Linked DNA regions of Oryzias latipes. The main gene of each other region encodes a partner of the protein of the gene in region 2 in a complex. Links are inferred from orthologs where the notes say so. Each region holds a gene or a part of one and is shown on either strand. Other genes may lie near its edges.

Region 1 (4,026 bases), on a different chromosome or scaffold from region 2:
GAGTAAGATGCACACAAGCTATTAAACTTTGATTTATTTTTTTATAATGAAAATGCACAATAATGTCAAACAAAAGCTTTTAGGAAAAACATTTACATATACAAATATATACAATAAACCAATGAATAGTGCTGCATTAAAAAGCCATCTAATGAGTTATTTTTCTTTGCAGGGATGACAAATTGCTAATAAAACAAATTATAATATTATTCCACAGTTGGAAAAAAAAATAGAAAAATATACAATACAGCAAATCAACATAAATATGTTGAAAACATCAGTATTTGGGTCACATGTCTGTCATTTATTAAATTTAGAAAGAAAACGTTTTCCACCTGTATTTACAACAGTTCAAAAGAACAATATAAACGGGAAAAAAACAAAAAAAAACTTCCCAGGAGTGGAAACTCTCACTGGAGGACAATTCTGCAACACAAAAATCACTGTTAGTTCAATGACATTGCGAGTTTCTCTGTAAATATGTAAAATACAGAGTTTATAACACTTTAAACACTGATTTTTTTGCCAGGTAGTGTAAACATAAACAGATGATTTGAGCTTAGAATAAACATCACTGTCCAACAGCAGCTTATGTAAGACCAGCAGCTGTCAGTGTGAGAGTTGGAAGCCATCGAGAAAGACGAGTCAAGACTGAGACCATCTTACTTGAGTCTTCAGATCAGCTTCACGGCCCCATTTGAGATGAGCGGCGCGATGGTGCGATACCGCATCAAGTGCTGCGAGCCCTCTTCCAGATCCACAACATACTCTCTGGCAAGTGAGTCACAGAAAGTTACCACTTGGTTTGCATTCGGAAAAGAACTTCGCCACCTGCTGGTGGGATGGTAGAAATCATCTCATTATCTTGTAAATTAAAAGTTGTTTGGTACCTTTGATCATCTGTTTCAGGCTCAATCAAGATATTTTCTTGTTTCTCTTTGACTCGCAGAAACACAAACGAGTCTAAGCAGGGCTCCGGAACTGCAGTTGCACAAGAGAACATTTCATTTGTCACAAAAGTGATCGCAATACTAAACAATGAAAAAAACAAAGGCAAGATACCTGCTTTGAGCATGTCAATGCTCTGTAGGTTAGGTGGCATCCGCTTCAGCGCTACCGCTTTCAGGTACGCTTCTGTGTTGTCATAATACCTGAAAAAAATATCTGAACGTTTTCATCCATGCAAATTGTTTTGTTCAAAACGGTATAAAAATGTCTGTTGAACTCAAACGCACTCTTTGGCAAATGCAAACTCCTCGGGGGAAAGCAGGGATGGCTCCCCATCAGCTCGAGACTTTTCCCTCTCCAGGACATGAGGGAAAAACTTTTCAATCTAAACAGACAGCACACAGAAAGGAAGCTTTGTCTTTATATTTATAGAGCAAGATTGGAGCTTTACTGTACAACTTCCACCTGACTGACTTTCTGCAGCCGGGAGCGCAGGTAGCTGGTGAGGACAAAGCGGATCCGGTCCACTTCCATGCGATGTATGCTGGCCTTGGTGTCGCCTTTCTTCACTCGCTGCAAGTTGGACTCCTGTTGGCAGAGAAGTTGAGTAGCACTTTACTCACAACGATGGGAAAAGTACACATTTACTATAAAAGAAATGCACCAATGATACAATTAGTGGCATTTTTCTCATCATGAAGGACATCTATAAAGAAAGTTCAAATAAAAATTACTTTAGTCATCATCAATCATTTTGAATCAGGAGCAAACGATAAATGACAAAAGTACGTTACGTAAAAAAATAACGCTGGGCAGGTCACAAGCACCTGAGCTATCAGGAATGGAGAGGGGAAGGGGGGCGGGGTTGCTCTGCACCACAACTCAGAGGGGATTTTCTAATGAACTACTGCTGCTCTGCAGAAACTATGTTCTAAAAGGTTTTCGAATTTTGGATAAAAAAAAAGCACATGATTGTGATTAAAACGGTTTTACAATCGATCAAATCGATGGGATACAAAGTGACCCTTTAACAAGGAAGGCAATTATTTTGTTAATTACGTACTCTATGACCTGATTTAGAAACTGATTTGCAGTCATCTAAGAAACCTTAATAGCATTTACATTATTAGTAACAATCCACATAAACCTCATTTCAACAACTCCTGAGTTTCGAGAATGCTGTTAACTAACCAGTAAGTTGTGGCTTCAAGTGAATCTGTCAATCAAAACTGATGGTGATGAGCATCAAAAGTAGCAGACTGTTCGTGGTTACCATATGAGTGAGCTGCTCCATCACACATTCCACCACTTCGGATTTGTTCTCCTGCAGCTCGGGGGAGAACTTCTCATTCAGCCAAGCCTGTGACTCAACCAGAAGAGCGCAGCAGTGAAGCTGGGGCTAACACAGGATGGTTGCAATCATTGCTTTGAGACGCAAGAAAAGGTTTAAGGTCCTAATAGTTCGATCTCACCTCTTCCAGTTTGGCGATCAGCTCTGCTGGAGTCATAACGTCCTCCTGGCTGTCATCTTCTTGGTTGATCTCGCTGTCATCAAACGCGGCTTCCGACATCGTTTTGTTCTTTTAAAGGGACTAAATTACCTCATATGTTTTGCTACTTCGTATTCTAATTGGCTCATTTGAAGCCACTCAAAGATTCTATCGATTCAATAAAAAGTACTATTTTAAAACGCAACTGCAACCCCAGCGTCTGTGTACAAAGACAACTCTTTATGTATTCGCGCCAAATGTGGTGCTCTCGCGAGATTGAATTGTTCGTGGGTTTGTTCACCCTGAGTTTAGTATGCCAGGCATTCTCATCGTCTGTCATTGGCCAAATGCTTCGGAAAACTCTTAAAGCAAATAAATTATTAATAAATAAACAAAAAGAGAGAGAAAAAAGTTAGGAATAGTTCTTAAGGTTTTTCTTTTGCCACATCCGCAACCGCAGTTACCGGGATTATTCAACGTGATGGAAAAAAAAGAAGCCTGAAATAGTAAAAACTGGCAATTAAACCAACTCATCTTGACTTTTTGTTTAAATTGTGTTTTCGTAATTGTGTAAGCAGAACACGTTCATTGCAATTATGCAGACTAGAACATTTTATAGGCCCGTGCATTATCTACAGTGTAGCAGATCTTTACATTTTAAAGAATGGCCCAGATTGCACTCAGCTGATCCCTTGTTTCTCAATATTCATAAAGACTGTTTATAAAATTTGAATATCAGACAAGTTGGAATGATAGCAAAATAAATACATACAATAAAAATAATAATAGGCATAAATTTTTTTTAACTATAACCCAAAGAATTTAGAAACCCTGATGAAATGTAAGAGTCTCAACATTTCTGTATTTTTGATAGACTAATTCATTCATCCATTTTCTTAACCCGCTTTATCCCTTTCTGGGTTATTGGGTTGCTGGAGCGTGTCACCGTGAAGGGGGGGGAACACCCGAAACTTCAGGGGTTTGAGGGCCGGTGCGTTTGTATGATTTCGACGTATCCAAGCCCCTATCCAAGACCGATTACCTGGTTCAGGTGTGTTCAGCCAAATAGAACATGCCGGAGCAGGGTATGTTGGAAAACATGCAGGAATGCGGTCCCCGAGACTGAAGTTTGCCCATGTTTGAACCAAATGTACAACAAACAGCTATGATGAGCTGCTAAACATCCCTCTGCGGTCTAACTTCAGAGTTGGAACAGTGCAGTCAGGCAGATAAAGTTTAGATAAAAACTACCAAATCCTTCATCACACTATTTGGCAGTGTGATGGCTGCCTACGCTGCCACCCCATCAGGGCAGTAATCTCCTGCACCACATCACCATATCTGTTCACTTTATTTTTTGTGCATATACTTTTAGTTTTCTTTTTTCAAACATAACCCAAACACATGTTTGAACATAAAATTTATTAACATGTTTCAGTTTACTTTATGATAATTTGCTTCATTAATTTGATGTTTTGTTTTGAGTTACCAGTGCTGAGGGAACCATTGCTGCTGCTGCTGCTGCTGCTGCTGCTGCTGCTGCTGCTGCTGCTGCTGCTGCTGCTGCTGCTGCTGCTGCTGCTGCTGC
Region 2 (4,267 bases):
GGAGGGTCATTGTGGAGTTGATCACCCATAGGTTTGATCCCAGAGGGGCGGAGCTACCTTTGCACATGTCACTAATCTTTTCCTTGAAGACATTGTGGCCGTTTTCATCCACGTGGGTCCGTAGGAAGTTCTTGAAGCGGTTGTAGATTTCGAGTCGTGGGGCTGGCATGGAGACCCACTCCCTGACGGTGTGGCCCTGCAAGGAGGGGGGGGGGGGGGGGGGGGGGGGGGTCAGACTTCCACTGTTGAGTCAGAAAACACCTTCAAGTTTGTGTGACAAACCTTCATGTCCTCCAGGTTCTCTATGCTCTCAATCATGTCCTCTTCTTCCCCGTCGACGATGCCTTCGGCCGCACGCTCGGCCAGCCGACGACGGCGAGCAGCGGGGCGCTCATCATCCTCATCTTCACTGTCTGAAAACCAACAGAAGCCTCCTGTCACACACTTCTGCCGTCTATGGAGAGACATTCATGAGCAGGCTCCTCACTGCAACTTTGGTTAGAAATCCCCGCCTTCAGCTTCAAAACAGGAACCCGAGCCCCCACACAGGAAAACGTTCTCCTCACCGTACAGCAGGCCTCTCCTCAGCCGTCCACTGACTCCCTGCTCTCGGTCTCTCCTCCTCATCTCCTCCTCAGCTGCAGCTCGGGCTCCAGGCGACAGTTCTGACAGGTCTTCATCATCCAGGTCCAAGCCCTCTGCCTCGTACCGATCCAGCTCTGGGATGGCCCGATAATCCCTGGAGAGCAGAGGAAGGACTTCAGAGCCCTTCATACTGAAGGAACAAACATCTGTGGAGGGGTTCAAATCTGGACTCTTACCTCTCCATCCCATCACCGATCAGCTCTTCCCCTTCATCCTCCTCCTCTCCTGGCAGGGGTGTGCCCCCCAGCAACCCCTCAGACTCATCCTCAAAAGGGGGTAGGTCTCGCCCCGGGCTGGATGTTGGGTCTCCTCTCCTGGGACCTGGATTTGGGCTGGTGACTCCATGGAATGACTCGGAGGAATCCTGAGGAGAAGACTGTTTGATAAGTCTGCAGTAGAAGAAATCTGATTACACAGGGGGGGGGGGGGGGGGGGGGTGCTAAAGATAAAGCTCAAATGATCGTGTCAACCATGAATACTTTATTACAGAGTAGCAAATTCCTTTTTTTTATCGTCTTTGTCGTGACATAAAAGGTCTGTTTACTTGCTTGAATGTTTTATTTGAAGTCAGCTGAAAACGCTTCTCCCATCACCTCCAGTGCGTGTCTGTATAAGTGGCGCGGCGAGGCTGTGACGCCGTCAATGTGCGACTTTGTAGTTCTTTGCTAAACTAATGCAAACAAGCCCACATCTATGAGGTTAGGGATCAAGCCTGACGAGGTGTTCGTTATCGTGGAGGGCTGATCGCATGTGACAGTAAACGGTGGAATAAGGTTTAGCAATGTGGATTATGGATTACATTTTGTTCTGGTCAATATTTTTGTATTGCTTAAAAAGGCGTTCCTAATGTTTTATGTGTTGAATTTAAGCACTCAGGACCTGATGTATTCTTTATATTTTGTTTTTTCTGAATTGTTCAAGACAAAATACAAATAATACCTCTTGTATTTTTTTCCAAGTTCAAAAATAAGTCAGTTATAATTGGAGAACTTCATAAAGCCACTTTTACTGCAACAGAAAGAGAAGAAAAGCAAAAGGGAAGAGCAGAAAACTGCAATATTAAGAACATTTATTTGTGGTTTTTTTTAACATCACCGTTTTGCTTCATCATTTAAGTATTTTGATTCTTTTCCTACTGAGTGAGGAACCAATTAATGCATTAAATAAATTCAGTTTTTTAACTTAAAAAGAATGTTAATAAAATGTCTTTACCATTTAATTTTGATTCAAACTGCTGCTTCTCAAAACATTTACATTTTTTTCATTGATATTCTCCAAAAGTGGGCCTGTGAAGAAGTTATATCAAGAACGTTTAACCCCAGGTGGGGACTTAAAAACAAATGGCTGCAAAAGGCCCCATGTTATTGTTCGCCCAGGGCCCCCAAAATGCTAAGTCCGCCACTGGTCAAAGCTAAACCTGATGTTTGTTCGGAAGCTGCAGGCTCACAAAAGCTGCTCACAGCTTCGGGATCTTTCTGCAGCTCAAGAACCGGTAGACTGACGTCACGATTGGCCTAATGTAGCGATTTTTTATTTTATTTTCCCGGCATGCCACCGGTGGCCACGCGGTGCTCTTATGAGAGAAAATAGACTGACTTCTTCATTAATGGTGGTACTTCTCATACATTTTATGTGTAACTGTGTGTACTTGTAGTTTCACGTTGTGCGTGTGTAAACTGTGTTTTGTGTTCGTAGGTTTGTGGTGTGCGACTGTACATGTAGTGAATACAAGAAGAACACAGTTACACACTAACTGTACATTTATGAGTTAGAGAATAAGAACTAGTAGTACACACGCGCAGCCGCAAACACATCCATTGAATATGTTCTCTGCCTCTTTCTTTAACCAAACAAACAGAACTCGCAGAGTAAATCCGTGACGACTCGGTTCCGCCATGATTGTGGTCACGGCGGCTCCGGAACGAGCGAACAACCGTTAAAACCCCAAAGCAGCGCGTTGACTGGGTCTGAATGTGGGTCTGGTTCAGTTCCTGAAAAATCAGAACCCAAACCTGTAAAAGTCTGAACGAGTTTCTACTCACCGCCATGATGCTGCTGCTGCTGCTGCCTCTGTCTGCTACAGGACACGAGTCACTTTTCGCGCGAAAGGGATCACGTGACACCCAAAAGCCCGGGAAAAGTCATGAATATGTACGAAGAAATACATCGACAGCTTCCCATTGGTAGATCATTTGAACAGGGGCGGGGTTCGGAGACAACGTGGATGCGTTCGTTTTAGAACAGAACTCACTGAAAGCAGTTGCGACCGCGCGTGCGCATGAGGTCCTGATGGTGTTCAAAACAAACAGACCTCTCGTTTGGACGGTGTTGATGACGTAGAGGCCTTTTGACCGTCAGGCGTCACGCCTGAGACCAGGCAGATGCAGGCGGGGGCGGGAAAGGCGTCTGAGATGAGGAGCTGCGGCCTGCAGGGAGACAACGAGAACCGGAAGTTCACAGGGAGGCTGGAAACTAACAGCTGTGATCAAATGACTGCCAGTCAATTCCTTATGAGACCTGTAACTATGTGATACACTGATTAACCGTGAATTCTTGTTAGACTTTATAGGCTTTATTACTTATGAGCGAAAATGTAGGGGTTATTGCGGAAAAATGACAAAATGTCTTGTGATTTGTGATATTGTACATGTAAAAGCAACAACTTAATGGAGGACTGACACATACAAACAAATCCATCTAAATTCACATTTGAATTTGTGTAACAATAAAGAGATCTGACTAATGAGTATACATCAAATGAAACCATGAAACGTATTTTTAAAAAAGGTGATTTATTCGGGATCTATTATTTAAGGTCATTTGATGAAGTACAAATGTTTCTTTCAACTTAAGTTGATATATTTTTTTATTTTTTTTTCAATCAACTTAAGTTTATTTCTAATATTCCTGTGTGACTGTTGTTTACTCCTTTCTTAAGGGTGTTTATCAGAATCTGAAAGTCTCCGGATGCAGCAGAGGAGTCCCTTGCTGAGTGTTGGTGAGCGTTCCGGCGGGACACCGTTTCCCACAACACATTTAGTTTTTGTGGATTCTGCGGGCGACAAGGGAAAAAGTCCCTACTGCAATCGCCTTGGTGCCTTGCACCCGCCCATTTTTTGCAATGTTTTTATGATGACAGACATGTGACGTCAAAGCAAAAACTACCCAACATGCACTGCACACCAGTCGATCTGCGCACTGCTGTGTCGGTCTGGGTGATCTCAAACATGCCTATTGTAGCTATCTAATCTGAATTGGCTACTGTATCCGTCCACGCATGCCCGAATACAACGACACTTACACAACTTTACGAAAGCAACTAATCAAGCAATCGGATAATTTTTGATTGTGAACACTTTGTCGGGCATTGTCTCTTACATATATGGATATATTTTACTCTGAAAGGCTTGATATAGGCCCTTTAATGTTGAATTCAATGCTGGCAAAAAAAAATGAAATAAAAAAATTTGTTAAGGATCAGGACAGCACGATCCTGCAAAAGACTACGAACGTTTTCTTCTTCTGATTTATTCTATGAGAGTTTAATTTCCAGTGTACAAGGATACAGCGCCACCTACTGACACTTTATTAACTCCACTAACACAGACAGTTTTAACGGCTA
Region 3 (3,763 bases), on a different chromosome or scaffold from region 2:
CAGTTACATATCGGCCCCACAGCCGAGGAGGCATCTCATCCAGAGCCAGCAGACCCGGCCTCTGATCTGCCATCCGTCTGTCTTTCCACAGCACTCTAAGATGCTTTTCCTAAGACAAAAAAGAAAAACGTTTTCTTTTTTACTTAGCAATGATCGGCTCAACTTTTGTCTAGAGGCCTATATTTTTCAAAAATGAAGTGTGAATATAATCTTTCTTTGGTGAACATGTTAAACTATATGCATTCTCTGTACAGTCCTTCCAGCAGTATTTAACTATGCAGGGAATGGCTTCCCTCCAACAGCTATAAATTAAAAAACAAAAATAAAATGCAAACGCTTATTTGATGCTATATCTGAGGTTGGTATCCAGCCTCCCATCTGTGCAGAACAGCTCATAAACTTTCCCCGAAAAAAGAGGAATGTCCGATTTTCTTCAAATAGGGACGTAAAAGCTGCTGTCAATTCTGCTCAAATGCACCTACAATGTAGGAAGTGTAAATAATGCTTTGGAAATCATTTGCCTGTACAGTCTTTTATTGTACTTTTTTGGTAAACAAAACAAAAATCATCCAACTGGATCATGTAATGAGTTAGAAATTCAATTGAATCAGACAATCTATAGCTTCAAAAGGCAGTTTTCCACTTTGCATTGTCTTTTAATCTGATTTTTACAAAATAAAGGTTTATGCAATCTGCTGTAGAATGATCCATTTATTAGCAACATAACAAATACAAATTACATGAAATACAGGAAGCATTTACATTTTTTTATTTCACTTTAAACAAAAAAGGCCCAACGCTGACAAAAATCTTAATTTGGAAGTCCTTAAAAAAGGAACGAGGCTGACATTTATTTCTTTCCTTTTTTTCCCTTTTGGGGTTTTGAACTCTTTTTAGAATATTTTGCTTCCAGGTCTGACAGGAAACTATTAAAATTCTTCTCCCTGGACTGCTGTCTTTGCTGAAAAAAAGAAAAAAATAAGTTATACTGAGGGGAAAAAATAGTAGCAGCTCTAAGATTTACACATGCTAATGAAGCTCACCTTAAGCATCATGACGAGACTGTCATCTTTGTCACTGAGCCCCATCTTTTTTTGCATTTCTTCTGCTTCTTCTTTTTCTCTGTCAGCCTAAAAGATCATTACAATGAAAATGACAGAATCCAGTTAATGATTTCAAGCCGCCACAGGTTTAAAATCTCACCCTCTTCCGACGAGCCCTCTTCTTCTTGTCACTCTCTTGGGTAAACGAGGGGAAGGCTTCAACCTCTCCACTCTTGATGGCGGCTTCGATGATGCCGCACAGTCTGGGCTCATCTTCCTGCGAGCAGCACAGAGCTGACGCCATGATCTCATCCAAGTCCCCTTCGTGCTGCACGTAAAGCCGGATCACGTCATCCCGCTCCTCATCTGAGCCTTTGTATTTCTTTTCGAATTCTAGGATGTCCTGCACTGTCACCTACAAGACAAAATCAAGTCAAGATGGGGTGAAAATACCAGACTCCTGTAGTTGCATCGTGCATTTTTCTCATTTATATCTAACTTCATCCTGCAATAATAAGACAAGCTCTTGTTTATGTGGACATAAATGTCAAAGTGCTCCAGTACCTTAGGAAAGAGCAATCTCCAATAGTCTTCCCAGCAACGGTCCTGACGAAGGACATCTGATTCTTCATCAACTACTCCTTGCTCATCATAAACAGCCCTCTGCTCCCGATCTGTCAGCACTGTGTACAGTTTTCCCAACACCTGCAACAGATTACACGAAAACTATTTTAATGTGTTTTACTTTAAAGCAACATCTATCACAGAGATACCGTTATGCTAGGAACATTGTTAAATTACTGACATAACATTAGCATAAGTGATAATTACTGAGCAAACATAGTAACTGAAAAGAAATATGGAACATTTCTGTTAAATAATTTTAAGTAACAAAACGTGTCTAGAAACATTAGACCTCTAAATAGGTAAGAAAAGACTCGCGTTTGGTTTTGCGCTGCAAACTCTGTCAACATCTTCCATGTTTCAGCTTAGATGGTATGTTAGCTTCGTTAGCTAACATCGATACCTAGCTTATTTTTCTATTGTCGTTTGAAGGCTAACAAAGAAAAGAAAAAAAACGAGCTAACCTGGAATTTCTCCGTCGCCTGCGGGTCTTCGGGGGCTCTGTCGGGGTGCACTTTCAGCGACACTTTATAGTAGCTCCTCCTTATCTCCGCTTCGGATGCTTCTTTGCTTACTCCCAGCACTTCATACAAATTTGTGCTACTAAAGAGTTCCTGGCACCGCTCGAGCAAACCCATTGCGACCGTCTAGTTTAATGAAATACGAGTAAAATAAGTTAAAAGTGAACGACTGAGGACGTAAAGCGCAATGACAGTGTTGATATTAGATTAGGTTCGCGTATAGTTAAAGAAATCTGCCCTCCACGGTACTTTTCTCGATCATGTTAGTTTGGCGCCCTGGCCTGCCGCTTGCGCTTTACGTGACACTACGTTCTTGCGTCATCATCTAACGCACAATCCTATTGGCGAAGACGTTCGCACGTGCTACTGAACGGTGTTTTCAATTTCAATATCAATTTATTTGTTTTGTAGGATAAGCCCCTTGAAATGTGTCATCTCGTTTTCAAGGGGGCCCTCGACATACAACAAAACAACCAAATACCAACAGATTCAGCTCACCAAACTTTACATATTTTAACATTTTACCAATAAAAACGAATAAGATTTGAAGTAAGAGAGAACTAAAACAGGTTTCTCTTTTAAAACGTACTATATATCACACATCAGAACAAACAACAACAACAATAATAATAATAACAATTATTATTATTATTATTATTATTATTATTATTATTATTATTGTTGCTATGTTTATTTATTTTTGCGGTATCCTATATGCAAGTTTGTACATTTTATTTAGTTTTTTTCCCCCATTGCACTTTAACAGCAGTTTTGTTAAATTTATTGAAGATGCTACAATTTGTGTTTGAGTCTTATTACCACCAATGTTTCTATTAATGAGTTATATTTTTTCAGCTAAATGGTCAATCTGATGAGAAAAACTTTTACTTAGCATTTACTTTTGAACTGGGTTTGCAATATAGGGGTGGGTGATACTGGGAATTTGGTTATCAAACTGATACCAAGTTATTACAGGACTAGAATCGCCGATACCGCTAGGATTACCAATACTAATATTATACTTTCTTCTTAAAATTTTTGATTTTAGAATAATTTTGGAAAACCTCAATTTTTTGTTAAGTATAATAAAACACAGGACATAGACTTTCTGTGAAAGAAAAATGTTCATTAATTCAGCTTCTAAACCCGTTTTGTCTCCTTGTCACGGGCCTGACGGAGCCTATCCCTGCCACTTATGGGCAAAGGCAGGGGACATCCTGGACAGGTCTGTCGCAGGGCCACAAATCACACACCCATGGACACTCACATTCACATTCACACCTATAGGGGCAATTTAAAGTAACCAATTAACCTATGAAAGTGGGAGCAAGCCGGGCTCCCGGTAGAAAACCCATGCATGCACGGGAAGAACATGCAAACTCCACACAGAAATGTCCCCCATTGGTTTTCTGTTTCAGGTCCTCCAGCCAGGATGTGAAGCGGGGGCCTGCTTGCTGTGAGGGACAAGCACCACTGCACCACCATACAAATATGAACTAATTCCAATCTAAACAGAACATGAATCAAATATAGAACATGTATGTTAATAATAGCAAACAATATCAATACTTCACC

The links.
Region 1: mcm2 (region 2) and gins4 share a complex: the UniProt entries of both Homo sapiens proteins name them as parts of the CMG helicase complex. The link is inferred for Oryzias latipes from reciprocal best matches to the Homo sapiens genes MCM2 and GINS4.
Region 3: the proteins of mcm2 (region 2) and dnajc9 are in contact, whole or in part, in a crystal structure (PDB 7CJ0), measured with the Homo sapiens proteins. The link is inferred for Oryzias latipes from reciprocal best matches to the Homo sapiens genes MCM2 and DNAJC9. Residues at the interface, in NP_004517.2 of Homo sapiens: Glu65, Glu66, Glu67, Asp68, Glu104; in NP_056005.1 of Homo sapiens: Lys185, Arg189, Arg192, Lys244.

What each region holds. Positions count from the first base shown.
Region 1 is NC_019867.2:17,431,808-17,435,833, forward strand, and holds gins4 (DNA replication complex GINS protein SLD5), read right to left. Parts: upstream 2,801-4,026; 5' UTR 2,520-2,800; coding exon 2,421-2,519; intron 2,309-2,420; coding exon 2,222-2,308; intron 1,537-2,221; coding exon 1,423-1,536; intron 1,334-1,422; coding exon 1,236-1,333; intron 1,152-1,235; coding exon 1,063-1,151; intron 982-1,062; coding exon 891-981; intron 772-890; coding exon 675-771; 3' UTR 667-674; intron 427-666; 3' UTR 17-426; downstream 1-16. UniProt on the Homo sapiens protein: Required for correct functioning of the GINS complex, a complex that plays an essential role in the initiation of DNA replication, and progression of DNA replication forks.
Region 2 is NC_019863.2:6,784,008-6,788,274, reverse strand, and holds the start of mcm2 (DNA replication licensing factor MCM2), read right to left. Parts: upstream 2,808-4,267; 5' UTR 2,694-2,807; coding exon 2,688-2,693; intron 1,010-2,687; coding exon 822-1,009; intron 740-821; coding exon 567-739; intron 414-566; coding exon 283-413; intron 197-282; coding exon 58-196; intron 1-57. UniProt on the Homo sapiens protein: Acts as a component of the MCM2-7 complex (MCM complex) which is the replicative helicase essential for 'once per cell cycle' DNA replication initiation and elongation in eukaryotic cells.
Region 3 is NC_019873.2:17,922,327-17,926,089, reverse strand, and holds dnajc9 (dnaJ homolog subfamily C member 9), read right to left. Parts: upstream 2,518-3,763; 5' UTR 2,306-2,517; coding exon 2,132-2,305; intron 1,749-2,131; coding exon 1,608-1,748; intron 1,459-1,607; coding exon 1,204-1,458; intron 1,131-1,203; coding exon 1,044-1,130; intron 962-1,043; coding exon 851-961; 3' UTR 517-850; downstream 1-516. Other genes in the region: protein FAM149B1, read left to right, coding at 1-65.